Linked DNA regions of Macaca mulatta. The protein of the gene in region 3 interacts with the protein of the main gene of each other region in a pairwise test. Links are inferred from orthologs where the notes say so. Each region holds a gene or a part of one and is shown on either strand. Other genes may lie near its edges.

Region 1 (4,219 bases), on a different chromosome or scaffold from region 3:
CCACTTTTTTTTTTTTTTTAAACACTAAAAGAAAGATCGCTTTCCCCTCCAAATAACAAATGAACATTATCTTAAAAGGCAAAGCCATTAATTTATATGAAGCCAGGCACTAGACACTTTGGGGTGTCACAACAAGAATGACAATACGTTCTGATGTTGAGCACAGAAGGGGGCTGCATCAGTGAAAACTATGACAGACAGCATGAGAGTGCTGGGAGGCAAGCTACAAATCCAAGCACGCGACTGCTCAGCCAGGATCTCTATTCCCTATGGGAGCAGTGAATTACCTGAACTTTCGGTCAATGGAAGAAGTAAAATGCATAACACCCTAATCCTAAAGACACAAGTCCTGACCCCCTAAACCAAGGTTTTCAGCACTTTGGTAAAAACACTAACAAGCTCTAAGCCTGGCAAAGATGGCAATACATACCCACGTTGTGGAAGACTCTGCAGAGGTGGCCACTGGTCACGCTGGGCAGTTGAGCAGCTGAGAATGCCCAGCCCAGCCAGAAATGGTCTTTAATACTCTTCCCCTCTTTCTTTCAGTTTCCCTTCTGAAAAAAGAGGCTTTTCCTTTTGTTTACCAGTCCCCACCCTGCATTCAGCTAAGCTTTTCTTATAAATCGCCCTGATTCTCAGAAACACTTGAGCTCTTGACCAACCTTCTTGATGAGACTGTCCAATCAGAGGTGGGCTGCCTGGGACCAGGTTGAGACCAATGAAACCCTCCTGAGAATCGAGCCATTAGCTGGGCATTGCATCAGCCACCCCTCACCCCCCGCTGGCCTCCAAATAACCTCTCCACCCTCTTCCCGTTCCCCACCCTCAGTGTCAGTGTGACTGATTTTGTGGAGTCGTGGGCGTTAGAAAGAGAAACCGTAAATTCCCCGCATTTGTTCACCGAGGCGGCGCAGTGTAGTGGAAAGATCGGGAGTTCTGAGGTCACAGACGCCTGGGTTTCAATCCCAGCTTGGACTTATTCGAAACCTTGGGCAAGGGTCACATTACTTTTCTGCTTCCCTTGGGTTTCCTCATCTGTGAAATGGGCATGGAGAAGCCTGCTAACATTACCATTGAGCGGACTAAGTGCAACACTAGGCAAAGTCTCTGGCACATGGCAAGCGCTAAATAAAAATGGGGGCCTCTCTTCTCGGGAAAAGAGAAGAGGTGGAGATGATGAAGGGTTGATGCCGGTGGGAAAGGGGGACGGGGTGGGTCGGCGGCGCTCACAGGAAAGGAGCAAGGGGTCGGTGGCAGGATCCGCGCCCTTCACGGTGCCAGAACGCGGCGAGCAGCAAGCCGGGCTCTCAGGATACTGCCTGGAGGGCCAGGCCGCTGGGCGCCGCGCGGGCGTCCCTCCATTACTCCCTCCCTTGTTCCCTCACTCCGCCCCGGCCTCACTCCCCTCGCTTACCCGGCCCACCCGGGCCTGTCAGCACTCCCGGCTCAGCCACGGGTTGTCTCCGGGGCGTCCGTGGAAACGCCATCCGGACGGAACAACTTCCGGCCCGACGGCGCCATCATTGGTTGTTCACGCGGGGGCGGGGCAGAGGGCTCCACTGATTGGCTGGCGGCCCCGGGGCCTCGTCGCAACGTGACTGGACAGTGGTGTGCTGGCCGGTCTGCCTCCGGGAGAACCGAGCGCTTCCGGTGCGTGTGGTGAGCGGCGGGCCCCGGGCTGGAGGGGGCCGGGACTGGGCAGCGTCCATAAGCGCCCCGCGCCTCTTAACGCGGTCTCTCATAGCCGCTCGCCTTCCTATCACTTCCTGTTCCTTCAGAAAGCGCTGTGCCTTGGACCAACCTTACTTCTTACTATTGACAGCTCGGCTAACTCCTATTCATCTTTCAAACTCCATCTCTGGTCGTATCTTGTTTGTTGCCTTCATCAGTCTGGGGCCTCCGGGGGATCTGTGTTTTGTGTTTAATTTCCACCCACACAAGACCCAGCATAGGGCTTGACAAAGAGTAGGTAATCAGGAAATGTTTGTTGAATGGCAATATCCTATTTCTTTTACTTCCTCAGCATCTCCCCCTCCCACCTGTTTGCATTCCAGAAATATTTTTGGACGCTGGGCATTGAATAGTGAACAAAACACAGAAAGCCCTGTCCTCATGGGGCTGACATGCTGATAGTGATTGTCAGAGTCACTCGCTTCTTCCTTAGACTCTTCTCCAGTGTCCCTGCCTTCCCTTCCATCTGTCTCAGTTCCTCTTAGTTTAATCCCTCACCACCTTCCAGAGGGAGCACGGGCACTCTGGTGGTGGGAATCTGTGGGATCCTTTTGACAGCAAGGAGTCGGGTGCGTGGTGGGTGGTGCCTGGGCAGAGGAGTTGAGAGTGGCCTGGGGACCAGGTTTAGCATTTGGAGAACAGAAATGCCAAATTATTTGCAGTGCACGGTCCCATTAGTTTATAATTAGTCTTTTATATTAGTTCCATCTGAGATGAGCTGGCTGGCTGGCTTTAGAAGTTTTGTTTTTGTTTTTGTTTTTTTTTTTTTGAGACGAAGTCTTGCTCTGTAGCCCAGGCTGGAGTGCAGTGGCGTGATCTCCACTCACCACAATCTCTGCCTCCCGGGCTCAAGCAATTCCGCGGCCTCAGCCTCCAGAGTAGCTGGGATTAGAGGCATGCGCCACTGTACCCAGCTAATTTATTTTTTATTTTTATTTTTATTTTTAAAAAATTTTTAGTAGAGGTGGGGTTTCACCATGTTAGCCAGGCAGGTCTTGAACTCCTGACCTCAGGTAATCTGCCCGCCTCGGCCTCCCAAAGTGCTAAGATTACAGGCGTGAGCCACTGTGCCCACCCATTTTATTTGAACTCTGGCTTTGTGTGTGGAAGTTGTTACCTGCCTAGAATGGGCTGTGAACAGGGGCGGCATTACTAGAGGAGACTGACTACAGACATTTATGGAATGATGACCTGACTTGTAGACCAGTGGAACCCTCAGGCGAATGGTGCCATTTGGGGGAAAGGTGTGGAAGGGGTTGGGTGGTTGATTCCAGGGGACATTGAAACCCATTGTCTAGCAGAAGAGATGGGTAATAGGCTGTCTGGAATGACTTAGCAAAGGACTTGGAGGGAATCTGTTTAATATGATCTGACTCCACCTGTTGGGAGATGGAGGCGGACCTTGGCCTGTTTGATTAAGTTTGGGTGCACTGGATTTTCTTGGAAGTTAGTCTATTGCCTGAGCATTCTGTGCTGTTCCACCGCGCCCTCTGCTGTCCTGGGTGTGCCCAGCACCCTTCTTTTTCTCTGGATTGTACTTGGTGCTAACAGCATAGAAGTAAAACATTGATCCAGACCAAAGCACTTCTTTCTGGGAACTAATTGATAACAATGTATTGTGCATGAAGGTTCAGAATTTCAGAAAGAATTTTTTTTTGAGACTAAGTTTCACTCTTGTCGCCTAGGCTGAGGTGCAATGGCCCGATCTCGGCTCACTGCAACGAGGGAGTGAGGAGGCTCAACATGCCTCCTGGATTTAAGTGATTCTCCTGCCTCTGCTTCCTGAGTAGCTGGGATTACAGGCGTGTGCCACCATGCGCGGCTAATTTTTGTATTTTAGTAGAGACAGGGTTTCACCATGTTGGCCAGGCTGGTCTTGAACTTGACCTCAGGTGATCTGCCCACGTCGGCCTCCCAAAGTGCTGCGATTACAGGCGTGAACCACTATGCCCTGCCCAGAAAAGATTTTTTTTTTTTTTTTTAAACAAGTAGAAATTCACTGCAGCGTGAATCTGTGTTGGGAGTGAAACGGGTGAATTTGGATCATGCCCTCAGAATTGCTCCCTGCACACTTGGGTGGACCAACACCTTAGGCCTCCAGCTGGCTGCTACAGAGATGGGATATCTGGGGGAAGAATGTTTCAGGCAGAGAGAAAAGAGGGAAGGGCTGGAGCACAGGGAAAGGATGCAGAGGAGCGTGGCAGGCCTTTCTCACCATGGATCCTGGACATCTTTTGATTTCCGTATTTTCAGACCTAACCTTGTTCATGATGATGAGCATATGTTCTCACTGGTTGCTAATAAGCAGTGCAGCAGGCTTTCTTTATACATTTATCTTCATGGATTTATACATCTAGCAAACATATGCTAGTATTTGTGTAGGATAGAGTTCTACAGTGGGGTTGGTGAGGTGAAAATGATGTGTTTAAACTTGTAACACATATGACCAAAATGGACCTTCCAAAGGCATTTTTAAAGTCCTGTCCCT
Region 2 (4,068 bases), on a different chromosome or scaffold from region 3:
AACTCCTGGGCTGAAGGGATCCTCCTGCGTTGGCCTCCCAAAGTGCTGGGATTCCAGGTGTGAGGCACCACGCCTAGTTGGAACCTGCATTTTTTTTTTTTTTTTTTTGAGACGGTCTCGCTCTGTCGCCCAGGCTGGAGTGCAGTGGCGCGATCTCGGCTCACTGTAAGCTCCGCCTCCCGGGTTCACGCCATTCTTCTGCCTCAGCCTCCTGAGTAGCTGGGACTACAGGCGCCGCCACCACGCCCAGCTAATTTATTTTTATTTTATTTATTTATTTTTTTTTGAGACGGAGTCTGGCTCTGTCGCCCGGGCTGGAGTGCAGTGGCCGGATCTCAGCTCACTGCAAGCTCCGCCCCCCGGGTTTACGCCATTCTCCTGCCTCAGCCTCCCGAGTAGCTGGGACTACAGGCGCCCGCCGCCTCGCCCGGCTAGTTTTTTGTATTTTTTAGTAGAGACGGGGTTTCACCGTGTTCACCAGGATGGTCTCGATCTCCTGACCTAGTGATCCGCCCGTCTCGGCCTCCCAAAGTGCTGGGATTACAGGCTTGAGCCACCGCGCCCGGCCAATTTATTGTATTTTTAGTAGAGACGGGCTTTCACCGTGTTAGCCGGGATGGTCTCGATCTGCTGACCTCGTGATCTGCCCGCCTCGGCCTACCGAAGTGCTGGGATTACAGGCGTGAGCCACCGCGCCCAATGCATTTTTACATTGCCTCTCAGATCTTTCTGACGCGAAAGGTTCCCCGAGGCCGAACTTTGAGAAACATGTTTCTGCCGAAATTCCTATTACCCAGGTGGGTAAACTGAGCCCCAGAAGGAGGAAGGGGCCCGTGCAGAACCACGTGGTTGCTCTGTTTTGCCTTTTGGCTCTCCGGTCTCTTCCTGTTGGTGCCTCTGTGCCTCCCTCCCCAGGTTCTCCGTCTATCTCATACTCTTATCTTTTCCCTTTTCTGTGGCCGGCGCCCCGTCTACGGCCTCGCCCCCGCATCCGGGCCCCTTCGCGATTCCGGAGGAATCCCCCAGACCCGCCTGACCCCGCCCCAGGCTCCGCCCCTTCCCCCACCTCCTCCCGTCGCAGTGCCCTGCTCCCATTGGCCTCTTCGTACATTGCCCCCCTGTCATTGGCTAATCCGAAGCACTCGGCCCGCCCTCCATGCCTGGCAACTCTCCGGTCCCTTCCTGCGGGCGGGGCGAGTGGAGGGCGTGTCCTGCCGAGGGGCGAGGCAAGTGGAGGGCGGGGCCGCGCTGCCGCCCCGCCCCGGCCCCGGCCCCGCTCCGGCGCTGCTCCCACTGCCGCGGCAACGGCCCCAGCCCACGGAGGCGGCTGGACTGACCCCCGACGGTTGGACGCACGGACTCTGCTCCGAGAGCAGGTGAGAGAGAAGTGCCGGGGCGCCCCCTATTTCAGCTCATCCCGGGGACCACCTGGCCGCCCTGTCTCTCCCGCCCGGTAATGCTTCTGCACCCCGCCGCCTGTCCGTCTGCATTCCTGCCTCAGTTTCCCTCTGTCTCTCTGTCCCTCTTGCTGTATAGGTTAGGGAGAGACAGGTTGAGTCTCAATTGCCCCCCTTGGCGTGGGGCTCTGCTTGGGACCAGCACCCCCACCCCTCCGTGGAATCTAGTGGACTCTGCCCCCTTTAACTGCAGGGCCACAGGTGCTCAGGACAGATTCCAGAACCCCGAGGGCATTCCAGGAGGTGGGCAGCTGGGCCAGCCATGCGGAGGTGGGCATGACTGTAGCTTTGACTGTAGCTTCTGGCTAAACCAGGCATCGGTGGCGGGGAGCCAGGCCTAGGCCCGCCCAGGCCCACCCGGACTGGCCCCTAACGAACTCCCAAGTGGCCTGTGGGGCCGTGGCCTCAGTTTTGCCAGCTGTGAACTGGGACCGTCGCTGCCAAGGTAATTGGCAGGTGATCTGAAGGACGTCTGTCGCCTCCTGGCCTTTTCTGTGAAGTCGAACTAGGTCCATTTCCTGGGATGGTAAACTAAGGCCTAGAAAGAGGCCAATGCTTCCAATGTTTGGCCAGGGAGGTGGGGACACAGGAAGGACAGAATCTGTTTTCTCTGCATCCTCACATTTTCCAGCACCTTCTCTATGGTGGGGGGAAGGGCTGGGGGAGGAGCAGCTCTAGGTGTAAACAGGCTACCAGAGGTTCTTTCCTGAGCCAGTCCCAGCTCAGCTGGGGGCGGTGAACGCCTCGGGAGGTCCCAGCGGGGTCAGCCCAGTCGTGGCGGAGCTTGGGCAAATCTAGATTTGAACTCTGCCACCCGCATGGTACCTTGAACCAGTTTTTCAATTCTGCTGAGCCTGTTTCCTCCTCTGTAAAACAGGAGTGGGTCGTAACTCACCGAATTACGACTGCTGGGGGATCAGGTGCAGGAATACAGGCCCTGCTTGTAACCCCCCTGACCCTCGCTGTGGCTCTGCCCCAGTCGCACTGGCCTCCTCCTGTTCCTCCAGCACCCCAGGCGAGGTCCTGCCTCAGGGCCTTTGCATGGGCTATGCCCTCTGCCACCACGGCAGGTCCGAGGGCGCCAACTTTGAAACATAACAAGCTCCCTGTATGGGCCGGCCCAGGACCTGCATAGGCAAGGGCTGGGAGGGGCAGAGGAGGGGCCGTTCAGGGACGCTGTACCTATGGAAACAGTGAACAAAGGGCTGTCTCCAGCCACACAAACACCTGGGTGAATTGGGAACTGGCCAGAGGCTGGAGCAGCCTGGGACACAGGTGGCGGGTGAGTGCTTAGACCCCTGGGGGGACTATGGGCTGGAGGGGACTTGAATCCTGCTCTAATCGTGGGGTACCAGGGGGTCCCTAAAGGAAGCGGCTCTGCAGACAGGTGTAGGTCTGAGGCCCCGCCGTGTGCCCCTCCCTCTGTGTGGCCTTGGGCCAACTGTCAGGTGCCCCCAGAACCTCAGTTTCCTCGTCCCCGTTCCTCCAGGGGTCAGCCCAGGTGGGCGAGGGGTCCTTTGATTGCCTGACAATTCAGTATGGTGGGTTCCAGAGGACTCAGTGTCCCTGTCTGTCCAATGGGGCCACGAAAGTGTGCCTTGAGGACAAAACTCCAGCCATTGACGGGGAAACACTTCTCCCAGAGAGACGTCAGCGCTAAAAAATGACTCACACTTGCCCAGGTACAGCCTCAGGTGTTACAGACGGGGAGGGGCGCGAGGAGGCAGATCGAGAGGGAGGAACCGCCTGGTTCCACAGCCTGCCTGCCCCTTCCCAGCATCCCCCGACACCCCTCAGCAGACAACTTCCCTGGAATCACACCCACCCGAGCTTTGACGCAGGGACCTCTGGCAGAGTTCCTGGGATCTTGTAAATTCCCAGCTTCTAGGCCTCAGTTTCCCCATCTGTCCAATGGGGCTGGTCATCTCCTTTTTCTTGTGGAAAGGGGCTGAGATAACTGGGGGGAGGGAGGGTGCTTTGAGGTGTGGGGGAGATTCAGCAAGACATTGTCAAAGGCCCGAGGAGGGGATTACAGGACACAGTGCTTCTAGAAGCTTCCTAAGGCTTCCATCCTTCCCCTCTGGGGTGAGCTCTGGGAGAGAGGAGACTTGAACCCCAAATGTGCTGTGGACTAGGATGGGGAAAGGATTGCGCTAGGTTAAAGGCTGGGTTCAAATTCTGATTCTGCCACATCACTGCTTTATAAGCTCGTGACCCTCTCTGACTCAGTTTCCCCATAACCAAAACCTTGCAGGTCCATCTAGAGAATTTCCCAGCCTGGGCAACATGGTGAAACCCTGTCTCTACTGAAAACAAAGAAAAAGAAAAAATTAGCCAGGTGTGGTGGCGCGGGCCTGTAGTCCCAGCCACTCTGGAGGCTGAGGTGGGAGGATCACCTGAGCCCAGGGAGGTTGAGGCTGCAGTGAGCCGAGATCACACCACTGCGCTCCAGCCTGGGTGACAGGAGTGAGACCCTGTCTTAAAGAAAAAGAAGAGAATTGGCTGGGCGCCGTGGCTCACGCCTGTAATCCCAGCACGTTGGGAGGCCGAGGCGGGCGGATCACCTGAGGTGAGGAATTCGAGACCAGCCTGGCCAACAGGGCAAAACCCT
Region 3 (4,107 bases):
CAACCCTCCTCACCCCCAGCTCACCAGTCTTTGTCTTCAAGACAGTCTCTTTCCTTCCCTAGAGCATTTGCTGCACTTATACGTCTCAAGGCTCTTCTCACTCTTTCCATGCTAACCCCTTTATGTCCTTTAGATCGCAGCTTGTCTCTTGTTCAGAGGCCTTCCTTGGCCATTCGATCTAAAATAGATCTCTGGTATTTTCTATGTCATACACTTGTTTCCTAATATTTATCAAATTTTGCAGTTACTTTGTCAGTTTACTTTCTGGTGTTTTTCCAATATTATGCCCCATGAGACCAGCAACCTTGAATCTTGTTTGCCTTTGATTTCCCAGAGCTGTGCTGTTCAATACAGAAGCCAGCAGCCACATGTGGCTACTGAGCACTGTACTGTAAATGTGTTATTTTCTTATTGAGATGTGCAGTTAAGTGTAAAATATGCACTGGATTTTGAAGACTTGGTATGAGAAAAGAATGCATAAGATCTCGATTTTTTAATGTTGATTACATGTTGAAGGACTTGGATAAATTGGGTTAAATATATGACTAAAATTTTCACTTATTTTACTTTTTAATTGTGGCTAATAGAAGATTTCAACCTACATATGTAACTCACATATTTCTAGAATCTGAGACAGTGCCCTGGCCCATTTTATTGAATGAAATATCCAATGTCGAGAGAGAGATCGAATGAATGGGTGTATGAAGAGGTATAGTCTTAAGCTTCCATTAGGCAAATAGATACAGCACTGCCATAGAAGTTAGGAGATCTGGGTCCTGGCTCAGGATGTACTGGAAACGCCTTGGACAAGTCTTGCCCTACTCTGGGCATCAATTTGCCCATTAGGTAGTTGATCTTTGAGGTCCGGAAGCTTACGACAGTCAGTTGGCAGGGAAATGTACCAGGAAAGCTTGGTACAACCGCACTTGTGTTTTTCGCTCTAGCCTAAACACTTGAGCCTCGGCAAACGGGCAGAGGCAGCGGGAATCAGGGACTACACCCCCGAACCCAGTACCCGGGTCCCCGACTTCCCCGAGCCTACGTCACTGGGGCGCGACGGCGCTGTCCCCGGGACTGCAGCGACTGAGGTCCCTTCGGTGAAGGCGAGTTCCGGGCCAACAGAGAGGGTCGCACCGTTTCCGAGTCTTTCGGAGGCTCAGTTCTCAGCGCACCATTCCCCACAGCTCTCCTTTTTACTTCACCCCTACCCAACACTTTACCCCGGGGAGCATCCAAACCCGAGTCTCATCGCGGCTGCGCAGCGCACGTGCACAGCCTCGCAGGAGTCTCGGCGATTGGCTGTGACGCAGTTTCCGGCGTGAGCGGCGAAAGCCGGGAGGGCGAGCGAGAGAGCGACCAGGCAGCAGGCTGCCGGCGGGCGGGCGGACGGCACGGAGGGAGGGAGCAAGCGAGCAGTGAGTGAGCCAGCGAGGGCGGCCGGGTCCCGAGGTCAGCCGAGATTTCTCAGGTCCCTCCGGCCCCCTCCCTGGAGTCCACAGCGCCTCCGGTGTCCAGCGGATCGGACACGGCCCGGCCCGGCCATGGCCTCGTTGCTGAAGGTGGATCAGGAAGTGAAGCTCAAGGTAGCGGCACCGGTCCGGCCTTTTTGCCCCTCGCTTTGATCCCCCAGCAGTCTGACTGGCTTCCTACTCCCCATGTCGTCTTTGTCTCCCTGGGGATACCAGCTCTGAGCTTCCGCTCAACTCAGCCCAGCCCCCAACTCCCGGGGTCGGCTTCGCGGGAGAGGAAAATATAGGATGGCTTTCTGTACCGCGTCTGATGATGGAGAGTCCCGGGGACACCTCCGCGGACACGTGTTGGACTCAGGGCTTTAGGCCAGTGACAGCTGGAAATCCCCCAGCCCAACAACGTCCCTGGACACTGCCTCTGCCCTTGGTGGCTGGCCTGCCTGGTATCATAGGCCAGGTCTGGGTGGGGGTTGGCACGTTTGTGAGCTCACATCTTTCCTAACTACCTGTCTTTTGTCTGCTTATCAAATTCAGACAGCTTCAGACACAGGAGGGAGGGAGGGGAGAGGAGAGAGGAGACAGGCAGGTGCTGCCCTCAAAGCCCTGCTTTCTTCTCCTGAGATGGAAAAATGGATCCTCAAAAAAATAAAGTATTTGCAGTCTGGGGGCCTCTCAGCTTCTTATTACAGTTACAAGGTGAGGGAAAGACAGTTGGATTTGGGATTCTCTATCCTGCTCTTACCTCTGTCTCCAGGTACTGAATTGCTCTCTTTGTTAATTTTAGGTTGATTCTTTCAGGGAACGCATCACAAGTGAGGTGAGTGAAATAAATAGAAAAATGAGTGTTGGTTGAGAGTTTCCCAAAGAGGAGATATCTGTAGAGAGAGAGAGAGAGACCTTCCCACAGATATTAATTCAGCTATATTTTCCCTCCTCCTTAGGCAGAAGACTTGGTGGCAAATTTTTTCCCAAAGAAGTTGTTAGAACTTGATAGTTTTCTGAAGGTGAGAGACCCTTTTCTTTCCTCAAATTCCCCTATTTTTTTGGCCCTGGTATTACTGTCAACTGGAACTAATTGTGTGTTGATTCTTCTTTTTATTTTTTTAAACTGTAAAAGCGCTTTCATTTCTTGCTCTTCAATCAAATACTTCTTTGTTCAGCTTGAAAAGATTAATGTTTTGGGGTGGGTGTCTTTCAGGAACCAATTTTAAACATCCATGACCTAACTCAGATCCACTCTGACATGAATCTCCCAGTCCCTGACCCCATTCTTCTCACCAATAGCCATGATGGACTGGATGGTGTAAGTGTCCTATATTTATCTTTGTGTTCTTGAGCAGTAGGTCCTCTGTCCTCTGTTTCCTTGTCAGTTTAAGATGTACAGAGGCAACAGTGGGATTTGGATCTGGGAACTAGGACTGTTACAGACATGATGACTCTAGTATAGTTGTTTTATTTCTTATTTATTTATTTATTTTTGAGAAAGGGCGTCACTTTTTTTTGCCCAAGCTGGAGTGTAGTGGCGTGAGCACTGCTCACTGCAGCCTGGACCTCCCAAACTTAAGTGACCCTCCCTCCTCAGCCCGCCAAGTAGCTGATACTACAGGAGTGTGCCACCATGCCCAGCTGATTTTTGTATTTTTTGTAGAGACAGGGTTTCACCATGTTGCCGAGGCTGGTCTCAAACCACTGAGCTCAAGTAATCCACCCGCCTCAGCCTCCCAAAATGCTGGGATTACAGGCGTGAGTCACTGCACGAGGCCTCCGGTATATTCCTTTTAGACCCTGAGTTTCATTTACGATGTGAAGTGAATGTGCTAATGCTACTCTCAGTGTTAGAGTGAGTTTCAAATAAAAGAGAACTAGCTTTGGCCAGGCGCGGTGGCTCACACCTGTAATCCCAGCACTTTGGGAGACTCAGGTGGTTGGATCACGAGGTCAGGAGATGGAGACCATCCTTGCTAACATGGTGAAACCCCATCTCTACTAAAAATACAAAAAATTAGCTGGGCGTGGTTGTGGGCGCCTGTAGTCCCAGCTACTCGGGAGGCTGAGGCAGGAGAGTGGCATGAACCCAGGAGGCGGAGCTTATAGTGAGCCGAGATAATGACACTGCACTCCAGCCTGGGCAACAGAGCGAGACTCTGTCTCAAAAAAAAAAAAAAAAAAGGAGAGAACTAGCTTCATCAGGTTACCTGGTTTTTCCCATGGTTCTGAACAAGACTTAACTTTGTTTCTGTGTCTTGATAAGTGTTATGGGATATGAAGTTCTTGCTGTGTAACTGCAATCGCTGTTTTGCTGTACATCTTTAACAGCTAGTCCTTATCAGTCATGTGTCCGCATGCTACTATAACACTGATGATACTGAATTGTTGTCTGTAGTACCGCCTCATTGACAGAACTTGTACGTCTGGAAGGCAAGAACTACCTTTTTTTTTTTTTTTTTTTTTTTGAGACAGTCTCACTCTGTTTCCTAGGCTGGGGTGCAGTTGCGCGATCTCAGCTTCCTGCAACCTCCCCCTCCCGGTTTCAAGTGATTCTCCCACCTCAGCCTCCATGTAGCTGAGATTACAGATGCGCGCCACCAAGCCCAGCCAATTTTTAAATTTTTAGTGGAGACAGGGTTTCACCATGTTG

What was found.
Region 1: the proteins of PSME3 (region 3) and WDR25 interact in binary tests that used the Homo sapiens proteins (3 or more experiments, as listed by UniProt). The two-hybrid records come from large-scale screens. The link is inferred for Macaca mulatta from reciprocal best matches to the Homo sapiens genes PSME3 and WDR25.
Region 2: the proteins of PSME3 (region 3) and TNFAIP8L1 interact in binary tests that used the Homo sapiens proteins (3 or more experiments, as listed by UniProt). The two-hybrid records come from large-scale screens. The link is inferred for Macaca mulatta from reciprocal best matches to the Homo sapiens genes PSME3 and TNFAIP8L1.

Annotation. Positions count from the first base shown.
Region 1 is NC_133412.1:173,718,029-173,722,247, forward strand, and holds the start of WDR25 (WD repeat-containing protein 25), read left to right. Parts: upstream 1-1,419; 5' UTR 1,420-1,650; exon of another isoform or gene 1,651-1,965; intron 1,966-3,700; exon of another isoform or gene 3,701-4,219.
Region 2 is NC_133424.1:5,490,204-5,494,271, forward strand, and holds the start of TNFAIP8L1 (tumor necrosis factor alpha-induced protein 8-like protein 1), read left to right. Parts: upstream 1-1,268; 5' UTR 1,269-1,376; intron 1,377-4,068. UniProt on the Homo sapiens protein: Acts as a negative regulator of mTOR activity.
Region 3 is NC_133421.1:67,183,359-67,187,465, forward strand, and holds the start of PSME3 (proteasome activator complex subunit 3), read left to right. Parts: upstream 1-1,306; 5' UTR 1,307-1,541; coding exon 1,542-1,583; exon of another isoform or gene 1,584-2,090; coding exon of another isoform or gene 2,091-2,165; intron 2,166-2,253; coding exon 2,254-2,286; intron 2,287-2,376; exon of another isoform or gene 2,377-2,410; coding exon 2,411-2,473; intron 2,474-2,667; coding exon 2,668-2,772; intron 2,773-4,107. UniProt on the Homo sapiens protein: Subunit of the 11S REG-gamma (also called PA28-gamma) proteasome regulator, a doughnut-shaped homoheptamer which associates with the proteasome. 11S REG-gamma activates the trypsin-like catalytic subunit of the proteasome but inhibits the chymotrypsin-like and postglutamyl-preferring (PGPH) subunits.